Drosophila melanogaster: one gene and its partners. The protein of the gene in region 3 interacts with the protein of the main gene of each other region in a pairwise test. Each region holds a gene or a part of one and is shown on either strand. Other genes may lie near its edges.

Region 1 (5,795 bases), 2.6 Mb from region 3:
AAAACCCAGAACCTAATTGAATGGCTAACGGTGTGGGTCTCCCAAATGGGTTCTCGTTTTCCTTCACGCTTTCTGCACCGCTAGGAAATATAACCAAAGACAAACAGCCCAAGCACAATATATGACTTATTTTCTCCACGAACAGAATGGTTTTCCAGCTGGTTCGATTCGCGGCCAAAACGTAAGTTTAGACGTCGTTCCACTACCTCCACATCGACCACCTCGACGACAACAACGACGCACACACCATCGGCGGCGGCGGCCCAGGTGCCCATCCTGACCATTGTGGATCCACTGAGGAATCCACAAAACTGGATTGGCATTTTGGCCCATCATATTGTCAATTCCACTGGCAGTGCCATCTCTACGAGCACAAGTAATCCGCTCCTCCAGGCCTTGGCCACTCGAATGACCACCAGGGGAACCACTAGCACCACAACCACCACATCGCGGCCGGACGTTCCCAGGCGCATAAGCTATGACAAGTATCAGATTTGGCGTCTAAAGCCGCAGGATGAAGAGCAGGTCCGTGCACTGGAGGAGTTCAAAAAGGGCGAGGACGGCGTTAAGTTGCAATGGCTCAAGGGTCCAAGTCTCAGGTAAGCTAGACTTAAAGCTCAAAAATGTATGATGACAATCAATTTGGGGATTATTACAATACATTTTAAACCAAATCTTCTCACTCACCTCATCGTTTCAGAGGTCTTACGGATGTTCTTGTGCCACCCAAGATGCTCGTGGACTTTCAGGGCACTCTAAACTACGAGGGCATAGCGCACGAAGTGCTCATTTTCGATGTGGGCAAGGCCATCGCATACGAACTGACCAAAGAGGATTACCTACAAACCACTCGTCCCTCGAAGCCGCGTCCCACGGCACCACCGCCCATGACATGGAATCGTTACCATAATCACGATGAGATCGTCAAGTATCTGGAGACGGTGCGAATGCGTCATCCGCAGCTCGTTGAGCTCATCCACATTGGTCGTTCCTTCGAAGGTCGACCCTTAATTGTGGTAAAGATCGAATCCAAACAGACGGCGGCGGCGGCGAACAACGATGGTCTACACACCATCAAGCGACCCAAGCGGAAGCGGAAGTCGGGCCAGGCAAATGCCGTTTTCGTCGAAGCTGGTGCTCAGGGATTGGCCTGGATTGGACCCGCGGCGGCCACCTGGATGATTGCCGAACTGCTGCGACTAATGAAAACAAACAGTGAGTATATACACATATACTATTACCGAACTAGTATGTTCGTATTCTTAAACATCTATTTCACGATATTAATAATACTGGCCCAGATCATAAGTAACAATTTAGTAATACCTACAAAAGTTTTCTCTTAAAGTTTATTCAAATTGAAATTTTTGCAAATGATCGAATGGTTCGTGTTTCCAGGCAATACGTATAGTTTCGCAGTCTTAAGTCAGTTTAAGTATTATTGGCGCCCAACGTGGGGCTTCGTTGGTGGTTACTGCAACATGCGAACCAGTGTGTCGCGCATCCAGAGCACAATGGTGGGTGGTTGTTTCATCTCAGTCGGAATAGCATATCGTCTCGAGCTCAAGAAAATTGCCCGTCCCTCGCAATCCGTATACCTCGTTTTGCGGTGCGTGTGAAAGCCCAGGCTGGGTCCACAAGTGGCTGCCTTCTTAATCTTCGGCTTATGAGCACAGGTCTTGGTTTTGGATGCACAGCTCTTGGTCTTTGGCTTGGTGGATCTGTGAAAGAAGCCAATGCCACCACCTTTGGTTCTGGAACGGGCTCGATCCCGTGAATGACAGCAGGAACCACTGAGGTTGGTCACCTGCGATATGGCAAACGCAACGAGCAGCAGCCCGAACACAATGGCCACCGCCACCTGAATGTTGCGATCGGCGTTCTTCAGGTCCACCAGCAACTGGACAACATGGTAGCCCAGAGTAATCCAAAATGTTATCGTGCAGATGGCAAAAAAACTAATGGAAGATTACGTAGATTATCATAGAGTTGGAATGATCCAATCCTGGAATATATAAATATATACTCACACTAAAACACCGAGGACCTCCAATAGGAAGGTAATGAAGAAGTTAAGCTGCTCACTTCCGAAATCTGTTCCAAAAGTTCCCCGCTGCCCGGCGCCAACTTGCTTATAGCCGCCACCTTGAGCTCCTCGTAGGGCGCTCTGTACAGGTGGGCCTCCTGATCCCGTTGTCAATATTAATGGACCAGTTCCCATGGTTCCCGGACCTAGAAAGCTTCCGGGATCAACGCCATGGGCCTGACCGCATCCAAAATCACAGCCAGTTCCATAGCCACAGTCCTCATCGCATGCAACGCCCAGACTGCATCGGTTCTGGCCCAAATTAGCGGCGCCCAGACTGATGGCGAATCCCAGGGTGTCTCTGCCGGCAGGTCCAGCGGCAACTTGTTGTTGTCGCGCCGCCCAACCATGGTGGCAGGCTCCCACGCTCCTCTCACTCTCACCCCTGTTGCCATTATTGTAATCCCCGTTGGACATCATGCTGCTATACCTGTTCTGATCGTAGATGGCGTTCGGGGAGAAGTTTATATTGCCAACCATACTTTCGCTTACAGCCACGGGAGTGGTTTCAAAGCGCAGATTGCCCCCTGCGGGCTCATTGGATGTGGTTCTCGCCGAAGAGGTTTGGAACACTTCCACCATTTCCTCCGATATCCGCGTACTGTCCGAATCCCTGGCTTCAGCACTGAAGACCAAGCTAGCGTGTTGTCCATGCACCGCCGATCCCCGGGGACTGGCCGACTCCGGAATGACCATAACCCCCGGATTTACTTCTGACACTTCCGATGCGCCGGATTCTCTTAGTGGTACGATTGGTGCTCCACCTTCTTCTGGATTTTCGGTAACTTGTAGGCTGTGCGGAGCTCTTGCGATGCGAGAAACTCTTCTGAGTCGTTCGCCCAGAAGGGATGTCATGGTTGGTGCTTTATTACCGTCCGGCTGGAGGAGTAACGCTTTGGCGGTGGCAGGCAATGATGAGCCACTGTCTTCCTCTACTCCTCCTCCAACTGAAGAGTTTGATTTGGAGCACACGTATTTACGCGAGGACTTTCGGGGTCTTCGCCTCTCCATTCTGATCTTGGTCCAACTGGAGGAGAAGTGGCAAGCTGTAAAGGTCTAAAGTATACACTATCGATTTCTGGGTCTACAAATATACTGACTAACGGACTGACAAAGGGATAACTAATGTAATTTGAGTTGGGGAAAAGCGGCTACGTTGATCGGTTGAACAACGTATTTATTTTCTTAAGAGAATTAATATTTATTAACATTTATTTCATATGCATTATGTAAAGTTATGTATAAAAATAACCCATAAAACGTTTACTCAACAGAAAGCAACGAGGACGTGGAGTTCATCCGGAACACCACATGGTACATAATGCCGGTCCTGAATCCGGACGGATATGCGTACAGCCACGAGTACGATCGTTTCTGGAAGAAGTCGCGATCTCAGCACCAGACTCCACCTCCCAGTGGCCTCCTCGACTCGGCGATGACATGGCTCCAGCAAAAACGGGGTCCGGATAAGGTCTGCTACGGGGTGGACCTGGACAGAAACTGGCTGTATCATTGGGGCAAACGGGGTAGCTCCAAGGCACCCTGCAATGAGTTCTACGCCGGTCCAGCGCCATTTTCTGAACCGGAAACCAAGGCAGTATCTGAGTTCCTTATGGACTATAGGACGCAGATAAAGGTATGCTTAGAACAATATATAATTTTTATATTAACTCTCTAAAATAGATATATTTTTTGATTTATTAACTTTATTCATTATTTTTGCAGCTTTACATTTCCCTACAGGCCTATGGTCAGGTGATATCCTATCCGGTCAAGGCCAATTCCACTTTCAATTCAGAAAGATTGGATGATTTTCTGGACGTGGCGATGGTGGGTACCGATGGATTGCGCAAAAAGGGTAGTAAGTCCCGATATAAGGTCGACGCATCCAACGATCTAATTGAACAGCGATCGGGTGCGTAATATTTATATTATTTGCTTCGAAGTAGAATATAATAGAGATCTTTATCCGACCTTGCCAATCCTTTGGCTTCCTTGATTTATCCAGGCTGTGCGGACGCTTTTGCCGCCTACGAGATCGGAATTCCCTTCAGCTACACGCTCCAGCTGGCGGACAACGGAGTGCACGGTTATCTGCTGCCCAGCAGCGCCATTGAGCCCACGGCTCGGGATGCCTTTGAGATCATAAGCGGCATGCTGGACTACATATGAGGCTGGGATGCGGAGATCGGATTCCAATCGAAGACGAAGGCAGCAGGGATTTGGGGTGGGGCTACATGTGAATGAGTTTTAGTTCCTTTTAAACGGGCTTTGGTGGCTTGCGTTCCGGAGATCACTAGCCGTATTTCCGGAATACATTCTCCAATACTTTTAGCTGCATTTACGTATCTTATGCATTCGAAATTTTTTTTTTATTTCATATAAATTCCCTTAAGTTGAGATTTCCGTTTAGCATAATAAATATTATTGTTATATGTATGTATATTATAATTAATTATCAGCAATTTTTTTTTGGTAGTTTTAATCCCTTTTAGACTAAATAGTATACTATAATAAAGTCTTATATTTGATCGAGCATTCGATTGCTTCGCTTTCGTATAACATTTTGCATGGATGCCATGTAGGGAGATATTTTCAACGTACAGTATTTCTTAAGTTCTTGCCAAATGTACGCACTGTCTTAGTATTATATGCGGATATAATATAGCGTGCCTTGCCTTTTATAAATTCATTTTCTTAAATATTCGACCGTTCCCCATTTGGATATCTTTTGGGAAGGCAATATGAATAGCTTTAAGTCAATAAAATGGAAATGCAGTCTTAATAACTCGAAATTCGTTCGAGATTGGAAAATTCGTTCCAGCTTTGAAAATATTCGTCTAACCTGACAAAATGCATGTTTTAATAATGCATAAGGTAAACGTTCTAAGTAAGTATTGTTTGAAAAGCAAGAGCATACGGCGAATAACTACAATACTGCCAGCTATGATTAAACTCAGGAACTGGTTACCAAGGCACTGTAGTGGCTCCAAACTTCTGTCCTTCGTCTAGGCGAATCTCTGGGAGACCATGATCTTGGCCGAGAGCTTGGCAAAATTCGTGTGGCACTCGTTGCCGTGGAAATAGAGTCCAATAAGCAGCTTGAACTGGGCTGCTGACATGGGATACGGTTCCTGCGACATGACCACAATGGTGTCGATGCTTTTGCCCGCCTTCTGTTCCGCCAGATTGGCCAGGATTTCGCGGTAATTCACAAAGGATGCGGAGCACTTGGCAATTTGCCGGACCATTTTGTTCGTGGAGCACTGCTGCATCACAGGACGCAGTAGTGCATCCAAAACGAGCGACTGCAGATCAAAGACTATCAAATCGGGACTGCGCAAGGATTCGGCGCTATCCTGCATTTCCAGCATGCGAAGCGGGGTGCTCTCCACATCCACCAGTTGCAGAATGGTCAGGTATTTGCTGCAGTTATGGGCCTCCCATGGATAGCGCTTTGCCATTCCCTGCTGGCGACTGGTGATCAGTAAGACGCGCTTTTCTTTGGTGGCAAAGCGTTCGCATAGCTAAAAGAAATGCAATTTGATGTTCAAAAACCGACCTGAATCCGATGTTCAGAACTTACCTTTGCCAAATTAAGGGCGTAATCCTCACTGCCCGTCAAATATATATAGTTATTGTTGCAGTCGCTCAAACTCATTCCTTAAAAATGCTTACAAATTAAACAATATATATTTAAGGAATTCTA
Region 2 (6,257 bases), on a different chromosome or scaffold from region 3:
ATGGATTGTGAGTTGATTGATTGTTTAGGCCGGATTGTCCAGCTTAAAGAAGCTGGGTTCGGAAAAATATAAGTATATATACATATATAATATTTGGAATTTGAAGCAAGAAGTTTGCCCACCAATTGGTTTTTTTGCCCATGTCCAGTTTTGAAAATATCAAATTTCGAAAACTGTCCGAGATGAACATGTTTTATAACATGTGTTACATTGCAGCATTGCTTGTGGCAGGTGTCCGAAATCTTGGTTTGGGTTTGAGGTCTAAGTCCTGGGATGAGTTTTGGTGTTTCAAAAGCACAACTTAAATCAATGTTCCAGCACTTCGCAACAAGAACGGGCCCCATATAAACAGCAGATGTACTATGGAAGACCCAAAAAACACGCCCATTAACAGAACTCTTTTATGGCCGCTCCGCCCTCTGTTTGTGTCCCTGGAGAAAAGGGCTCGATTAGGGGACGATGTGAGGGGGCGTGTACTATCAGCTGTTTCCCATTATGACTACAGCGGAAATACACAAGCAAGTGGAAAACAGTCGAGGAAAAGCGGAAGCAAAAAAAAGGCCGCCACTGGCAATGCAAACACAGTAACACACTAAGGCACAAGCAAAACTCGCTTACACACGCAAGGCGATAAAAATAAAGCGAAGCCCACGGAACGAGAGGCAAAAATTGGAACTAAATGCGTATACGTAATGTGATAGAACCCACCTAAAAAAAAGGGAACTACGGAGTGATAATAAAACAATGGCACCGTTGACGACACTTCTCAACAAACATTAAGTAAGGGGAAAGAAACTTTAAATAGCTTTTTTTTTCGAAAAATATCCTTTAAACTCAAGTTCAGATAGATGTAAAATAGCCCTATTTTCTATATGAAGAAATGACCACCTATACTGTATCTAAATATTTTGTAGTTACTATTTTTCTTCGTTTTTGTAGTTCACTCGATAAGGTTAAGCAAAAAATGCCAGCAAAAAAGCAGAATCGAAAGGAAAAACAACTTTTCGTGGAAATACCGTGGTGAAAATCGAAAACCGAGAAAAGCGAAAAACAAAAAAAAATGTTATAACCACACAAAACTCACACATCCAGACACATAAAGCTACTTAAGCCCGGACACATCGCACACATTCAAGCGAGGGGAACCCCCCCCCCCCCCTGACAGCTGCCATGGCAAACGTGCGAAAGGGACGAAAGAGGCGATAGGAGCGACAGGGACGGGCAGAAACAAACAGTGGGACACGGAGCTTGTCACTTTATTTGGCTCGATTTCAATGCACTGCCAACTTGGGCATATTAGTATGCAAAACTGATAATCAATAGGCGACGACTCAATGCCCAACGCTCAGTGGAGATTATGGCGCAATTTGCATACGGGCATGTGCCATTTGAAGATGTCACCACCCGTATCCCTTATACCGGGAAATCCTCTGAATTCGTCCTCTCAACTCCGACCAGCGAAGGACTCGCTGTCGTTTAATTGAGCCAGACCATCGCCAGCGTACAATTTGGTGTTCTATGTGTGGAGCGCGAATTTTTTTCGCCCTTAATTGAAATACGGGATAATGACTCCAAAAAGCTTTCAGTCTAACTTGCCCTGCAACGATGGATTGCATAGATCAAACATTTGAAAGTGCAAGAAACTGGCTGGAAAACTGTACAGCAAATCGCAATTTGGTGGCCAATGTCATTTGTCAAACTATAAAATTGGGTTTTCTTAACTAATAAGCTTAAACAACTTGTAAAATAAGTTGTCACACTGATCGATTCTTTAGCTCAAAGAAAAAATAAATTTCTTTTGAATAAATATGTATTTTATAATATTAATGCCAATTAAAAAAGTACTCGCATTCAAGGTAGGTTTTCTCCAAAACATTTATTAATCTACACGAGCATTTTTATACCTATTGCTTTCCTAATATTGAAATGAAATGCTGGCAGGAAATACCATAAATATGAAATGCTATACCTTTTCATCGGTTCCTTACGACCTCTTCGCTGAAATTTTTCAATAACTCTCTGGGGATTTTATGGTCGCAATTTGCAATTTATCATCAATTTGATGTGCAAAGGGCCGAACATAAAAGTGGCTCAAATGGTAAATGTAACAAAGGGCAATAACGACGTATGTATATGGCTGCAGCAGGCGACTGACTAACCCCCAACTAGATCCATAAGCGTAAAGCTTGATTTTCTATTGATTTCTGGTCAGAAGCTCACTGCTATCACCTGAAATTCTGAGTGAAATGCACCTGCTGCTCCTACACGAAGAGAAACGTCACACTCTTTGATAGGTTAATGCCAGTACCGAATTAAGTTGCCCATACATTAAAACCTAAAATCTCTTTTTTATTGCAGTACAACAGAAATTTTGAACATTACAATTCATAGTGGTTTATTTTATGCGAATTTATTGTTGTTGCCCATTTAAAAGATTATGAAAATATTTTATTTTATATATTTATCATGTAATGTATTCATGTACTACAATTTTCTCCAAGTATTCCTGAGTTAACTCTTCAGCAGAATAGCAAAAACTATAGCATACTTATGGGCCGCTTTGAGAGTTGCCATAAGACGCTTAATAACTGTGAGTAGTGCCCAGCAGGGGCGTGTATGAGGAGGGCACATGGCAAGGACATGGGCGTCGAATTGAGGGTACTCCGTCCGATGTACGTGCCAATGGCCGTAGTCGCAGTAATAAACACACGCACAGCCCAGTTAACACAGAAATATGCCCCAAGTGTCAGGGCGGGCAAAACATGCGATGATGAGTGGGGAAAGTAGAGAGGAAATGCGGGGGGGGGGAGCCCAAGGAAATGGGAAATGGATTTTCAGTGGCCTTTGTAATTGTTGTTTTTTGTATTATTCTTGTTTTTCTTTTGTTTTTTTTATAATTACTGCGATAGAGCTGGTTTTTGTGTGTAAGTGTGTTGCTGTGGTAAGCACACATAACGGTAATTTAATTAACATACATAAACACTCACACCGGCACACATAAGGAGAATGTGGCACACAAAGAAAGGTGAAAGGTTGGCGGAGGGGGTTTTACTTCTTTGGGCACTTACGAATCGGTTTCACAAACTTTTCGACCCTTTGTAATCGATTTCGAAATGGGGGTCTAACACGGTTTTAATTAAGATATTTATACTTTCGAAAAGCACTTGACAATTTTTGATTATTTTCAATATACTATTTTAATTCTTGATTTGATCAACAAGCGCACACTAATTTCGGCTATACTTTTTATATATTTATAATTTTGTAAATTTTTTTTTATGATTTAACTATATATCTTTGGAGGTGTGTGTTTACAGGTTCCTTTTTGATTTTATTGTGTTGGCATTTTGCTGCTTTGCCGCCGGATGTTGCACGTTGCGCCAGCACTTCCGCTTTGCGACCGAACCAACCGTCGAGAAACGCGTTCCGCAAGCGAATAAACAAACGGACTTCCACCGCACACATTTGTCGCACTTCCATGGCCAGTGTTGCCGTGCTGCACGTCCTGCGCACTGCGCACGACGCGAGAAGAGAGAGTTTCCCTCTCCCGCTGCTCTCTTCGAAATGCAACCTGCTGACGGAACATCTGTGTTTTTGTTATTATGCTTTTGTCAGGGCAACAGCAACAACTGTAGCATTCAATTGCAATTGTGGCAACCGAACATCCATGTATTTCAATTACACTCACTCGTATGTCGGGGTCACCGAAAATAACTGCCGACTAATTGATGGCGCACAAACGATTTAGGAGCACATTTTGATTGATTATTGCGAACTTTACATATGCATAAGTATGAACGTATACGTCCAGTAATTAATCTGAGTTGTCATAGGAACAAGATATAGATATCAAATATTTAACGAATTGCTATTGTCTAAGATGGTCGTATTCATCAGAAATATATCTGAAATATACATATATCAATATGTGTAATAATATAGACAGGTAATTTCTTCTAGCCAACTATATTGGTATTGAAGTTTAGAAGTGGGTTATTGCAATGATTTTTATTTTTAATATTGGCTTTATGCCTGTGAAAATAATCAAAAATTGGTAATAATGTCAATTTAAAGGAACCCGGTTTTTTCGAAGCACAAATATGTGGCTTGGACAGCTCAAGTACAGCGCCTTTTTTGCAGGACGATTTCCACACAATTGCAGGATTTTGTGCCTCGTCGACGACGCTGCTTAATGTCAAGGTTTTTTGGCTGCTGTTGCAAGTGCAGCAGCAGCAGGAAAAACAGGAAAACCAGAAACGGCCGAATGAGAACGGCACGTGGCCAGCCCCCGCAACGAAAAGGGGCCAGAAAGGGGGTCGATTATGCCATTACCAGGGCAAAGCTGCACCTTCCGCCCCCGGAACCCCCAACCCCCTGCCAGTGCGCCGCGCATGAATGCCGCGACAGACCCGATTCGAAAGCCAATGTCAAGTGCACGCGGCACAAGGATATGGAGGCAGGAGTATATTACAGGCCGCCATCTGCCCCACTGTCAGTTCCCCTTCCTCAGTGCCCACAGCAGCTACAGTGGAGCTTCTATAAATTGACATTGGGCTTTCATCAATATTGAACTCTTCGATATGGACTGGCTTATGAAGACTCGTTTATAATAACACATAAATCCTATTTTCATATACGGCTTAAGTTTGACATACACAGGCTCGACTGTACCTCATCATCGAGCATTAGGACGGTCGTTGTTGTGACCTCCAAATTGGTTGGCACACTCACCTAAATGGGAGTTTATCTATATTTTATGTGCACGACTTATACCTCAGGCCCATTTCACTTGATCACCAATTAGTGACTATATGCTCAATATTTGCCAATATCAAACATCAGGTGCTTCGTCAATTAACTTGTTAATTAGATAGGAAATAGATTCTGTGGTTATAATTGTTTTTGTACCGTATTATAATTGTTACTACTTATTGTAGACGAATTTACATTAATCGATATCCATCCAAATTAGTCTGCGAATTCATTAGTTCAACAAACTACTCAAGGATGATGAACTTTTACTAAAACTAATTCCGTTCATCGGCTTTAAATAAAATAAATCAACTGTTTCATAATAGTAATTAATAAGTCATATTAGTCATATAAATAATAAGGGTCCACACACAAAATTGAATACAAGATAAAACGCTCTTCTCATTTGATATTTATTCAAATTATTATTTAATGTAAGTTTTGAACTTATTTATGTTAAATAACCTAGTGAGAATGAAATACAATGTTTTGTTTGTTTCTTCTTTACTGACTGCAGTGGATTGACTGCTTGGCATAACTTGTTTATTACTTCTTAAAAATTCTTCAATAATCTCTTTATAACTTAGGCGTATAAACTCATAATTCCGGCTAGTTTCGAGAACGGATTACCAAGGACAAAAGTAAATTACATATCTTCTACTAAAACTAGAATCTAAGGAAGAGAACAGACCAATCCGTCTACGACCAGGTCTTGGGAACACTGAACGGCCCGAATCGTTCGTGACTATCAACGCCCCGCACAGCGAAGTAATACCTCTGGTTCTCCTGGAACTGATTTAAAGTCACTGCCATTGGCAGCAACATAGCGCTGACATCGCCCACATGCCGCCAGCTATCCGTGCTGGGCTCGTTAATCGTCTCCTGGTATGCATAGATCTGGTACATTACGCACTCTGCGAACCGCGGGCTCGAATCCTCCAGAGTCCAGGATATAACGATACCAGTATCAAGGAGACTAATCCGGATAACGGGTCGCGAAGGAGGCACCTTCCAGGATGGATTGAAGGGCTGGGGAGGAGACGTGGGCAGTGGTGCAGGATGTGAGTATCTTAGACGAGACGCTGGAGGCGGGGTGTTTTCCGAACGTATCTGCATAGTTACGTTTGAGCCCAAGGGACTTTGCTGACCTTTGAATACGTTTGAAAATAAGTACGCCGAATATTTTGAATATAATGATTTTCCAACTCACCTCCTCCATTATTATGGACTATCTGTCGAGCATTTACGCGAGGCAATTGCATTGGAGAAGCTCGCACCACATTTCCGCCTCCTCGTCCTCCTCTCGTCGCTGCTGCAGTCTGAGCATTCCGCTTAAGCATCTCCATACGCAAACGAGCGTTTTGTGCTTGGGCAGCCCTAGCCGCCGCCGCAGCCGCTGCATCATCCTCATCTGTGAGGTCAATGACTGCCTTCTCCTTGGGCTTGGCCGGCGCCAAGCTGGACTCCTGCTGCTGTCCATAGCTGCCCAATTCCGATCCACTGCT
Region 3 (6,099 bases):
GCCGCAATTTTTGTTGAAGCGATAATCTTAATTCACTTAATTAGCTTTTAGTTAGGCGGAATCCCACCAGCGGATGCCGAATGAATCTCAACAGAGCCGGATTCACACCGCTACGATAATCTAGTTGGAGCTGCAACGGGGCTCAAATGCATTTGTGCAGTAACTAAAGCACAAACATTTCATTTTTTTTTTTTGTAATCTAGATGAATACATGTACCATTTACAAAAAAAAAAAAGAACAATATTGGTTTATTTTACACAGGATTATGCTTAAGACTAAGGGTATAATTTAACCTAGATCAGTTTTTTCCCTTTTTATTCCGCTGCAGCTTGATATCCTTGCTGGGCAGGCTCTTCTTCGCCTTGGCGATCTTTTTGGTGATCAGCAATTTCAGGCGGTTCTTCACTTGGTCATATTCGGCATGGTCAACCACCGCCTTCGTGGACTTGAAAAACTTGGCGCCCTCTGCAAAGAAAAGACGATCGCTTGTTGAGAATGAAAAAATACGCACAGATTCACGTTCTTACCCTTGAGACGAGGATCGTTTCTGGGTATGAAGAAGGACTCCAATTTGTTTTTGTTCCTCTTTTGACCCGACTTCTTCGCTGGCTGGGCCTTGTTCTCCTTGCTGACCTCAAGCTCCTGCTCCTGCTCCTGCTCTTGCTTCGGCTTTACTTCGGTTTCGTCTTCGCTGTCGGACGAGTCGTAGGAGAACGGATTGAGAGTGGCCAGTCCGAGCTTATTGGCAGACGTCTTGCCCACCAGGATCTTCTCATGGCCCAGCTTCTCCAACTGGTCCTGGCGCTTGGCCACCTCCTTCTCCGGTGCACTGCCGAACATGTCCAGCAGGCTGAAACCCTCTCCACGCGTGTTCAGCGAATCCCTCAACGTGTCGGTGACAATGTAAAAGGCCGTCTTCGAGACGGCTGAAGCTTGACTGTTGCCCGCGTCGGCGGTCTTGGCTTTCGTACTGGAAGTCTCCTCCTTCTTCTCCTCCTCCTCCTTGGGCTGCTTTTGGCGCATTAGCTTCTGATGGCCCTCCTTGGCCGGATCGAAGCGCAGCATCTTTTTGTTCTTTGGCGACTTACCGTCCTTATCGTTCGCACTGGTGATCGCGTGTCCCACAACCTGCTCCAGAATGTTCATGTGCCATTTGCGCTCACTCTCCTCCGGCTCAGGCTGATCCTCCAGCTCCGCCTCTTCCTCCTCGTTCACAAAGTTCGATGTGATGCGGAAGCGGGGATCTATACTCTGTTTGCTCTGCATCTCCACCAGACGCTCGCCCTTCTTGCCCTTATGCTGCGGCAGGACGATCTGCTCCTCTTCCTCATCGTCGTCGTTCTCGAACAGATCCCGCTTTTGTATCTTGGCTTTCTGGACGGGCTTGGACGCCTCCTCCTCCTCGGCGTCGCTGAATTTTATTCTCTTTGCCTGACTGCCTTCGACTGATATCACAGATAGCGCCTGCTGGATGGCTGACTTCTTTTGTTGGTGTCCCTGACGCATCTTGTTGAGCGACTCCTTGCGCTTCTGTTCCGCCTGGCTGACATTGGCGTCCGGCTTCTGTTTGGCTGCCTTGCGGTGCTGTTCGATGACATGGAGTGGCTTCACGTCGTGCTCCTGCTGGATGACAATCTGTGGGAAAGGAAAGGAAAGGAATTTAGCTGACAATGAGCTTGGGAACAATGAGTGCGTGCATACCCGGCCATTGTGCATGGAATTGGCGGCGCGCTTCTTGGTAATCAGCAGCTCTGGAGCGACCTCATCATCACCAATCTCCTCATCCTCTCCGAATACCCTGCGCTTGTTTTGGCCACTTTGCACCAGGAGCTGAGAGCTCGGCGCACGCACCTCGGACTCGTCTGGCTCGCCCTGTTCCCGGCGCTGGTTCTCTTCGCGTTCGCGCTTCAGTCGATCCAAAAACGATTCTTTGGCAAGAGAAACTCTTAGCTTTTCGCCGTGCAACTTCTGCCATTTGAGCTCGTTGACGCCTACAAAACCAAGCTATGGTTACTCCTTCCGTCTGGCTGTGATCTTCCGCGGATAACTTACAGTACTGGGCATCATCCGTCTGCACGGTGACGAAGGCAATCACCTTAGTGGCCCCATCCTGCTCCTTGCGCTTCAGATCCACGTGCTCTACGTGACCGTAGTCCTGGAACAGGATCTGCAGGTCCGACTCCGAGGTCCTGGTCGGCAGATCCGCCAGGAAGAACCGAGTGCTGCCCATATTATGTTTACGCTTGCAATGCACGTGTAGAATCCAAATCCCGGCAAGAATTGCTGTGGGCCAGTGTGACCGCGGGCAGATAAAAACTTACACTTAAATATAGCCACAATTCCAATTCCCAATTGCTTTATACAGGTTTTTAACAAGTCCAAGCAACACTAAACCAGCTTTCAAATTTATTTAGCAACTTTGTAAATAGGCAAATACATTAAGTTAGACAAAAATAATCCCCATCGGTCAGTGTTGCAAGGCGAGCAATACAATTACTTTAGGTGCGCAGCTGGCTGGTCACACTGGCAGCAGACGTCACAATAAATTCTATTATTTTGTTTTGTTTTGTGCGAAAAGTTTGCAGGCCAGCAATCGTGGACTAGCCCACAAACAACGGCAGCATGGCGAGCGGGACAAGCGGCACAAGCAGCAGTGAAACGGCCCAGTCGACGGACATGGCACCATCATCGGCCGAGAAGTGGGGCTTCCCTTTGATTGAGCTCTACCGCCTGGCATTCACGTTCTACAAGCGTAAGAGCAGAGATCCCGGCACTAGCGCACCAATAACGGCTAATCTCACATATTGCAGGGAACTCCGGCAAGGCCATCCACTTGTCGTACGAGGACAACCTCAAGCTGATCGCCTTCAAGCAGCAGGCGGCGCTGGGCCCCTTCAACACGAGTCGCGCCCCGGCGCTGGGCGTCCTGGACGTGATCGGACGCGACCGGCAGCAGCACTGGCAGCTGCTCGGTGAGATAACGCGCGAGCAGGCGATGGAGGGGTTCGTCGACCTGCTGGACACAATGTGCAGCGCCTTTCGGCCGTACATTGAGGCCGTGCGGCAGGACCGCGACGAGACGCTGCGCAAGGAGCTGCGCCTCATGGAGGAGAAGAAGGAGGCACGCGAGCGGCAGGAGAACGCCCAGCAGGAGCTGCTCGAGGAGGGTTACAAGGAGGAGCTGCAGCGCCGCCAGCTGCAGGACGCACTCAACAAGCAGACTTACCAGCAGTTTAAGGTAGCCCATCGATTTTTTCAACAACACACCGGCCCGGCCCTCTGCACCTGTTGTTGTGCTAAATAATGCATGATAATTACTGGGTGCTCGGCCTTGGCTGCGCTGTCTGCCATTGAAAAGGGGTCATGACCCAGTTCTCAGGCAATTGCATGCCAGCTCCTGTACCATTAACTTGGCCCTTCTAACGCTTACACTCGTTCCACAGCTGTACGCTGAGAAGCAGTTCCCCGGAAACCCCGAACAGCAGGCCGTGCTTATCCACCAGCTGCAGCGGGAGCACTATCACCAGTACATGCAACAGCTTCATCTGCAGAACCAGAACCAGAATCAGAATCAGAACACGGAGGACAAGGGACACCAGGAAGCAGAACACGTCCCTGGCAATAACAACAACAGCTCAACCGACTTGCCCAACGCCATGGAGGGACTGAAGCTCGGTGAGGTCGAGACACAGCAGCACCAGCAGCTGGCCGAGCAGCAAGACGGGCATGTAGAGCAGACGTTGGAGGGCGTTGGGCAGGAACAGCACGGCGAGGAAGAGTACGACGACTACGTTATGATCTGCCCGGCCAAGATCTGGACTCGTCCCGACATCGAGCAGTTTAAGACTGAGGTGTCCGCCGGCGATGGGGACGGCGTCATCACCATTGGACACGGCGACACGGTGACGGTAGGTGGCAATCAACTAATGACGAAACAAGGCCCATATTGACCGGCACAATTTTGCAGGTCCGTGTGCCCACCAACATGAACGGCAAGTGCATCTTCTGGGAGTTCGCCACGGACAGCTACGACATCGGCTTCGGCATCTACTTCGAGTGGGCCAAGCCCGTGACCAACGAGGTGACCGTGCATGTGAGCGACTCCGACGAGGACGAGGATTGCGTGGACGAGGACTACCTATCCACCACCGAGGACCTGGAGTCCGGCTCGCTGTCGCAGGAGCGCGGCGCAGTTAACAACCCGACTGCTGCCCCCAAGGCACCCATTTCCATTATCGTACCGATCTATCGACGGGAGTGCTACAACGAGGTCTACGTGGGCTCCCACTCCTATCCGGGCGAGGGCGTCTATTTGCTGAAGTTCGACAACAGCTACAGCATCTGGCGCAATAAGACGCTGTACTACCGCGTCTACTACGAGCGTTAAGAGGCCAAAATGTATTTACTTACCACTAACTTAGATGAATCCTATCTCCGTACGAACGGCTAATGTGCAAGTCCGGAATAATCTGTATGTGCGTGTGCGTGAGGTTTTGGTTTTACGTGTGCGTTGCTGCAATTCCGGGAAACAAGCGGCGGGAAAAGACCATGCCGATTTCAGACTAAACCAATATTATTTATTATTTAGTTGTAACCGACGAAGACAAGTCCAAAATTCAATTTGAAACTAATAAACAATATAAAGACAACTGTAAATAATCACTTTTCGAAATCTCTTTGCTTCTTAATGAAGAATAAATTATTCGTAAAATTCACTTAGGAAACTTCTTCATACGACACAATTGCTATTACCAATTTTGGGCATTGAAACAACTATTATTATTATTTTATATTAAATAAAAATTGCATTAAAGTATAGTTAAGAATTTGGCTCGTGTAAGGGGCCCTAACACTAACGGTCCCACGATTTGCTGGTTGTGGTTTCTATCGGTGCCTGGTCACACTGGCCATTATGCATGCACTTCGTAATTTTGCCGGCAATGGAATAGCAAATGTATTTGGCTGTGGGATCAGGCGCCGGCTCAGCTATGTCCTGGGCATCGAGACCTCCTGCGACGACACGGGCATCGCCATCGTGGACACCACGGGCCGAGTGATTGCCAATGTGCTGGAGTCGCAACAGGAGTTCCACACCCGGTGAGTGCTCACATCTCCGCATGCGGTGCCCAATGATGAACTGAATCGATTGCAGCTATGGAGGCATTATTCCGCCCAGGGCCCAGGACCTTCACCGCGCCCGCATCGAGTCCGCCTACCAGCGCTGCATGGAGGCGGCGCAATTGAAGCCGGACCAACTGACGGCCATCGCGGTGACCACGCGTCCCGGACTGCCGCTGAGTTTGCTGGTGGGCGTGCGCTTTGCACGGCACCTGGCCCGTCGCCTGCAGAAGCCCCTGCTGCCCGTTCACCACATGGAGGCGCACGCGCTGCAGGCCCGCATGGAACATCCGGAGCAGATCGGCTACCCCTTCCTCTGCTTGCTGGCCAGCGGCGGCCACTGTCAGTTGGTGGTGGCTAACGGCCCCGGTCGCCTTACGCTTCTTGGCCAAACACTGGATGATGCGCCCGGCGAGGCCTTTGACAAGATCGGTCGGCGACTACGCCTGCACATTCTGCCGGAGTACCGCTTGTGGAACGGAGGACGGGCCATTGAGCATGCCGCCCAGCTGGCCAGCGATCCGCTGGCCTACGAGTTTCCGCTGCCACTTGCCCAGCAGCGGAACTGCAACTTCAGCTTCGCCGGCATCAAGAACAACTCCTTCCGGGCCATCCGAGCGCGCGAGCGGGCAGAGCGGACACCTCCGGACGGAGTCATCAGCAACTACGGCGACTTCTGCGCCGGCCTGCTGCGCTCTGTCAGCCGGCACCTGATGCACCGCACGCAGCGGGCAATTGAGTACTGCCTCCTGCCGCACAGGCAGCTCTTCGGTGACACCCCGCCCACACTGGTCATGTCCGGCGGTGTGGCCAACAACGATGCCATATACGCCAACATCGAACATCTGGCCGCGCAGTATGGCTGCAGGAGCTTCCGTCCATCGAAGCGGTACTGCTCCGACAACGGCGTCATGATCGCCTGGCACGGCGTTGAGCAACTGCTGCAGGATAAAGAGGCCAGCACGCGCTACGACTACGAC
Region 4 (5,018 bases), on a different chromosome or scaffold from region 3:
AAAAACCAGCTTTCCCTACGAAAATCTGGAATTCGTTGACCACATGGTCATAAAGCTTGCTCAGTCACCACAACTGGCATTCGAACGACGAACTTTATAACATAACTTTCTTATTTTGAAAATTCTATTATATTGGCTTTAAGAATTCTTTTTATACAGCCATCACAAATAAAACGGTTTGGTAGTTTTGATTATGATTGTTTTTAAAACTTGTAAGTATTGATTTGTTTCACCCGAGATCTTCTTGGCCAAGATACTTAGAAACTACAAGACAAACACTACTTTTTTCAAAGCAAGCCTTACACCGGCAAGGCTTCAAAGCAATCTCAAAGTAAGTATATGAAAAATAGGAATTTATTTTTTATAAATGTGCAAAAGGTCAAAGTGGAATTGGCACATTTATGAAAGGGCGAGTTAAAAATATTCTAGAGCAATTAAATGCTATGCATGTTTCACCTATATAAAGCTCGTCCGAATTCCCAAATATTCATTCAAGACCGTTCACCCAAATCGCAGATTGAAATGCTTACGCTGCAAATTTTTGAGGCATTTGCAATCATTTTATGTGTATACTTTCTATGGAGTCGAAGAAGATTTTATATTATGATGCTAAAGTTACCAGGACCAATGGGCTTTCCGTTTATCGGACTTGCCTTTGAGTACATTCGCCTAAAACGTAAGTAATTATATTTTCGAATTTAATTAGGTAAAACTAAAAACGTTTTTACACAGGTAAGATACGCCTGCGTACCATTTTATTTAAAATATATGGAAAAACGGTATTGACTTGGATTGGCTTAACTCCCGTCCTGGTGACCTGTGAACCTAAGATCCTTGAGGACATTTTCACGTCTCCCAATTGCAGCAACAGGAGTTCTGTGGTGGACAAGGCCATTTCATCATGTTTAGGACTGGGCCTTCTGACCCTAAAGAGTAAGTGAAAAATTCTTATAATTTCTTGTTTCTTAATTGACAATCAATTGTAAGTATAGATAATCATTGGAATGAACGACGAAAACTTTTGTTACCATCGTTTAAGAATAATGCTGTTCTAAGTTTTGTGCCAGTTTTAAACAATGAAGCCAATTTCCTGGTGACCTTACTCGCGGAATTTGTCGATGGGGGAGATATAAACTTACTTCCAGAACTCAATAAATGGTCATTCAAAATAGCCGCTCGTAAGTAAATAGGTTGCTATATTCTTATTTTATTAACTCTATAATTTAAGAAATTACTATGGGTGATGAAGTGAGAAATCAAGCGAACTACCAGAACGGAAATCTTTTGGAAAGCTACAAGGCGTATGATTATTTCTATCTTATATTAGTAGATTTATTTATACTCTATTTATTTTATAGCCTTAACAACCTAATACCCATTGGTGTTGTAATGCCTTGGCTCAGGAACAAGTATCTTGGAAAGCTATTTAGCTATGAAAAACGACGACTAGAGGCCGCAACGCAGTCAAATGCATTCATCAAAGACGTACTTATAACTCAGAAGTCAGAGATTTCCTTCTAAACATATGCATATTTTCAGATAATAGACAAAAAGCTGAGTAGCACAGATAATAGCTCAGAACCGGCACTAATTGACCGCATTCTCAATCTTGTGAGAATCGGAGAACTTTCTTATGACGACGTAATGGGGGAATTTTCTAATATCATATTTGCCGCATCCGATACTTTATCTATAACAGTCAACAATGTGCTTATCCTGATGGCAATGTTTCCTAAATACCAGGATAATGTATTTGAGGAGCTAGCAGAGGTGTTTCCTTCAGGAGGAGAATTCGAAGCCAGTCATGCGGATCTGGAGAAATTAGTGAAGCTGGATCGAGTTTTGCATGAGACTATGCGTTTAATACCGGCCGTTCCATTACTGATAAGGCAAACTTCCCATTCTATTCAACTATCAAACGGATTTTATATTCCAGAAGGCGTAACCTTAATGATAGACATTTTTCACACTCATCGTAATAAGGATATCTGGGGACCACAGGCTAATGCATTTAATCCCGATAACTTTCTGCCTGAAAATAAGCGAGCAAGGCCACCTTATTCCTATTTACCTTTTTCGAAGGGGAAGAAAACATGCTTAGGTGGGTAACTTTCTTATAATTCCTTTACACTATTATAATATATTATGTACTTAGGTTGGAAACTCTCGCTGATATCTGCAAAGCTAGCTCTAGCTAAAATATTACGAAATTATATGCTGAGTACCACCTTTTTGTACAAGGACCTTAGGTTTATAGACAATACCACTATGAAGCTGGCTGAGCAACCATTACTAGCAGTGAAACGTAGAATATAATCATTAAAGAATATTTCCATACTGTTAGAATGCATGAAATAAAAACCTCAAAGTAACCTTATTTCAACGAACTTTTCTTACTGTCATAGGTTCAACCCGGCACTTTTAATAGAAAATCCATTCGAAATGAACACGATATAGACTGCAAACACTTTCCAAATTCAAAGTGTCCCAAAATGTTGGCTCTGGCCAGGAATTCGTGGTGTGGCCAATTGCTGTGTCGCGTGGCGAACATCGAAGCCCGCTGCCCGTTCTCGAAGTCATCATCCGGCGGAAAGCAGGCCGAGAAGAAGGGCAAGTACAGGATTGTGATGGTTCGTCATGGAGAGTCCGAATGGAATCAGAAGAACCTATTCTGCGGATGGTTCGATGCCAAGCTATCGGAGAAGGGGCAGCAGGAGGCCTGTGCCGCTGGCAAAGCGCTCAAAGATGCCAAAATTGAGTTCGATGTGGCCCACACCTCGGTGCTGACCAGAGCCCAGGAGACACTCAGGGCCGCCCTAAAGTCCAGCGAGCACAAGAAGATTCCGGTGTGCACCACGTGGCGCCTCAACGAGCGCCACTACGGCGGACTGACGGGACTGAATAAGGCCGAGACCGCCAAGAAGTTCGGCGAGGAGAAGGTTAAGATCTGGCGCCGCAGCTTTGACACCCCACCGCCGCCAATGGAGAAGGATCACGAGTACTACGCCTGCATTGTTGAGGATCCGCGCTACAAGGACCAACTGAAGCCGGAGGAGTTCCCCAAATCCGAGTCCCTCAAGCTCACCATCGAGCGCACCTTGCCCTACTGGAACGAGGTCATAGTGCCCCAGATCAAGGATGGAATGCGTGTCCTGATCGCCGCCCACGGCAACAGCCTGCGGGGCGTGGTCAAGCACTTGGAATGCATCTCTGACAAGGACATTATGAGCCTCAACCTGCCCACTGGCATTCCTTTCGTCTACGAACTAGACGAGAGCCTCAAGCCTTTGGCCACGTTGAAGTTCCTCGGCGATCCGGAGACGGTGAAGAAGGCAATGGAGTCGGTGGCCAACCAGGGCAAAGCCAAGTGATCCGTGATTTTGGGTATACCCAGCAGCCTCCGAAGAAGGTCAGAGCAATCAGCTCAATGCACTTGTATGCCAAACAAAAGCGGCGAATCGAAAGTGGTGCTCACTGTGGCCAGGCGAATGTCAAGAAGCAAATAAATTTATTTGATTTTAATTGACAATGAAGAGTCAACAACGATGGGCTGGCTGGCCGTTGGTCTCTTGGTCTTGGTCTTGGTCTTGGTCTCTGGAACTCAGGCGACGGTTCTGGGTCCCAGGGTCTGGGTCTGGATGTGGGTCTGGGTCTGGGTCTGAGCCAAAGTCCAGCCGTATTTATATGTGTTTCCATTGCGCTCGTTTAAGAAATCAGGGAATCGAGTGTGTCGCGTCAATTTTAATTGCTGCGGGATGAGTCTGAGCAGCCTCTGGCATTCCGAACGGGTCGAATTTTAATTTGTTTAAATGAAATACTCATTTAGGGCTTATTGACAAACAAATTGAATTGATTGATCTAAATGAATTTATATGCTGAGCGCGGTGCCCAGCGAGACTCAGATTCCCTCCGAATGAGATGCGTTGAGATGGATAGGTAGGTGGTTGGAGTTTTGGTGTTTAGGTTTAGTCTTCTGAGCATTTGACCCGTTGCTAGCCGTCTACCATATGGGAGTTAATTTGGGGCCAGATTTTCCATGTTAGGCTCGCCGAGCGTGGCGAGCTTTGATCCAGTAAATTGAGAGCGTGAAACGAGCTAGGAGACGGGCACTCTGCTGGCAAACTTGGGTCCTCTGCAGGATCATCCTTCCATGAGGGCTGTGCGAACTACAATATCTTGCTGACTAGTGTGGCGCGAAGAGGCTGAGCTCCACATTATTTGAACCTAATTACACAGACGCAGTGGAGCCCAGACCGAAGTTAAAGTTAAAGTCAAAGTCGGCGCCCCGTCAAATTGGTATACCAATTGCAGCATAGAAACGGCGGGAACATAAAAATGTTTGCACTTCGTTTTTGTCGCGCATAAAATCTAATATCGAATTACAAGGCCCGGTCTTTGGAGAGGAGTCCAGAGTTCGCAGAACAGTGTGCGTGTCAGCGAAACTTTGTGGCAGGCTCCGTCGACCAAGCGCTCCGGCTCCACATCCCCACGTCTCCACATCCTCAAGCTCGCATCCACATCCCGCTGCCATAAAGAAACTGAATTGAGTTAAATGCGCGATAAATTGCTTTTTGCATTTATCATGGTCGCCCTGGCAGGCGGCAGCCCAAGTTTTCGCTGGAGTCGGGCCAAGCCTAGACCACGAAGATGGCAAGGCGACTCTGTGGACGCCACACCCGGACTGCCGAACTCCTCCACCCTCCCTCTGGCTGTGGCGAATATTGAACAAGATTTTTAATTAGTCGCCAAAGCGTAGAAAGTGGGGGGATGTGACCAAGAACGCAAGACTTCGAGGAATTTAGTCAAGTTCGGGCAGAGACTCGGTTTATTTATGCGCTACAGGTCGGTATTTATTGGGCCAAGTCTTGGTTGATCACCTGACTGATGTAGGGCAGAAAACTGGACACCCGCGTGTAGACGTCGGGTCTGCCCTGGGCACAGGTGGATGATCCGTAGGAGACAATTCCCACCAAGTGCGGCTGCTTACCGGGCCTAATCAAGGGTCCACCAGAGTCGCC

Evidence for each region.
Region 1: the proteins of CG14232 (region 3) and CG4955 interact in a two-hybrid assay, tested with the Drosophila melanogaster proteins (one large-scale study listed by BioGRID).
Region 2: the proteins of CG14232 (region 3) and CG33144 interact in a two-hybrid assay, tested with the Drosophila melanogaster proteins (one large-scale study listed by BioGRID).
Region 4: the proteins of CG14232 (region 3) and Pglym87 interact in a two-hybrid assay, tested with the Drosophila melanogaster proteins (one large-scale study listed by BioGRID).

Annotation. Positions count from the first base shown.
Region 1 is NC_004354.4:17,078,886-17,084,680, reverse strand, and holds CG4955 (uncharacterized protein), read right to left. Parts: upstream 3,235-5,795; 5' UTR 3,098-3,234; coding exon 2,031-3,097; intron 1,959-2,030; coding exon 1,472-1,958; 3' UTR 1,325-1,471; downstream 1-1,324. Other genes in the region: CG8945 (uncharacterized protein), read left to right, coding at 146-599, 701-1,215, 3,361-3,722, 3,812-4,001, 4,095-4,258; CG4949 (uncharacterized protein), read right to left, coding at 5,095-5,613, 5,673-5,747.
Region 2 is NT_033778.4:10,795,272-10,801,528, forward strand, and holds the start of CG33144 (uncharacterized protein), read right to left. Parts: upstream 3,439-6,257; 5' UTR 3,069-3,438; intron 1-3,068. Other genes in the region: wde (windei), read right to left, coding at 5,452-5,900, 5,963-6,257.
Region 3 is NC_004354.4:19,700,543-19,706,641, reverse strand, and holds CG14232 (uncharacterized protein), read left to right. Parts: upstream 1-2,382; 5' UTR 2,383-2,503; exon of another isoform or gene 2,504-2,579; 5' UTR 2,580-2,623; coding exon 2,624-2,753; intron 2,754-2,811; coding exon 2,812-3,239; intron 3,240-3,444; coding exon 3,445-3,909; intron 3,910-3,968; coding exon 3,969-4,388; 3' UTR 4,389-4,654; downstream 4,655-6,099. Other genes in the region: CG14230 (uncharacterized protein), read right to left, coding at 300-466, 529-1,636, 1,703-1,992, 2,054-2,231; Tcs4 (Threonyl-carbamoyl synthesis 4), read left to right, coding at 4,914-5,098, 5,154-6,099.
Region 4 is NT_033777.3:12,230,152-12,235,169, reverse strand, and holds Pglym87 (phosphoglyceromutase 87), read left to right. Parts: upstream 1-2,440; 5' UTR 2,441-2,492; coding exon 2,493-3,371; 3' UTR 3,372-3,525; downstream 3,526-5,018. Other genes in the region: Cyp313a2 (cytochrome P450 313a2), read left to right, coding at 1-100; Cyp313a5 (cytochrome P450 313a5), read left to right, coding at 523-676, 733-933, 993-1,178, 1,229-1,301, 1,359-1,485, 1,540-2,101, 2,156-2,316; CG3916 (uncharacterized protein), read right to left, coding at 4,851-5,018.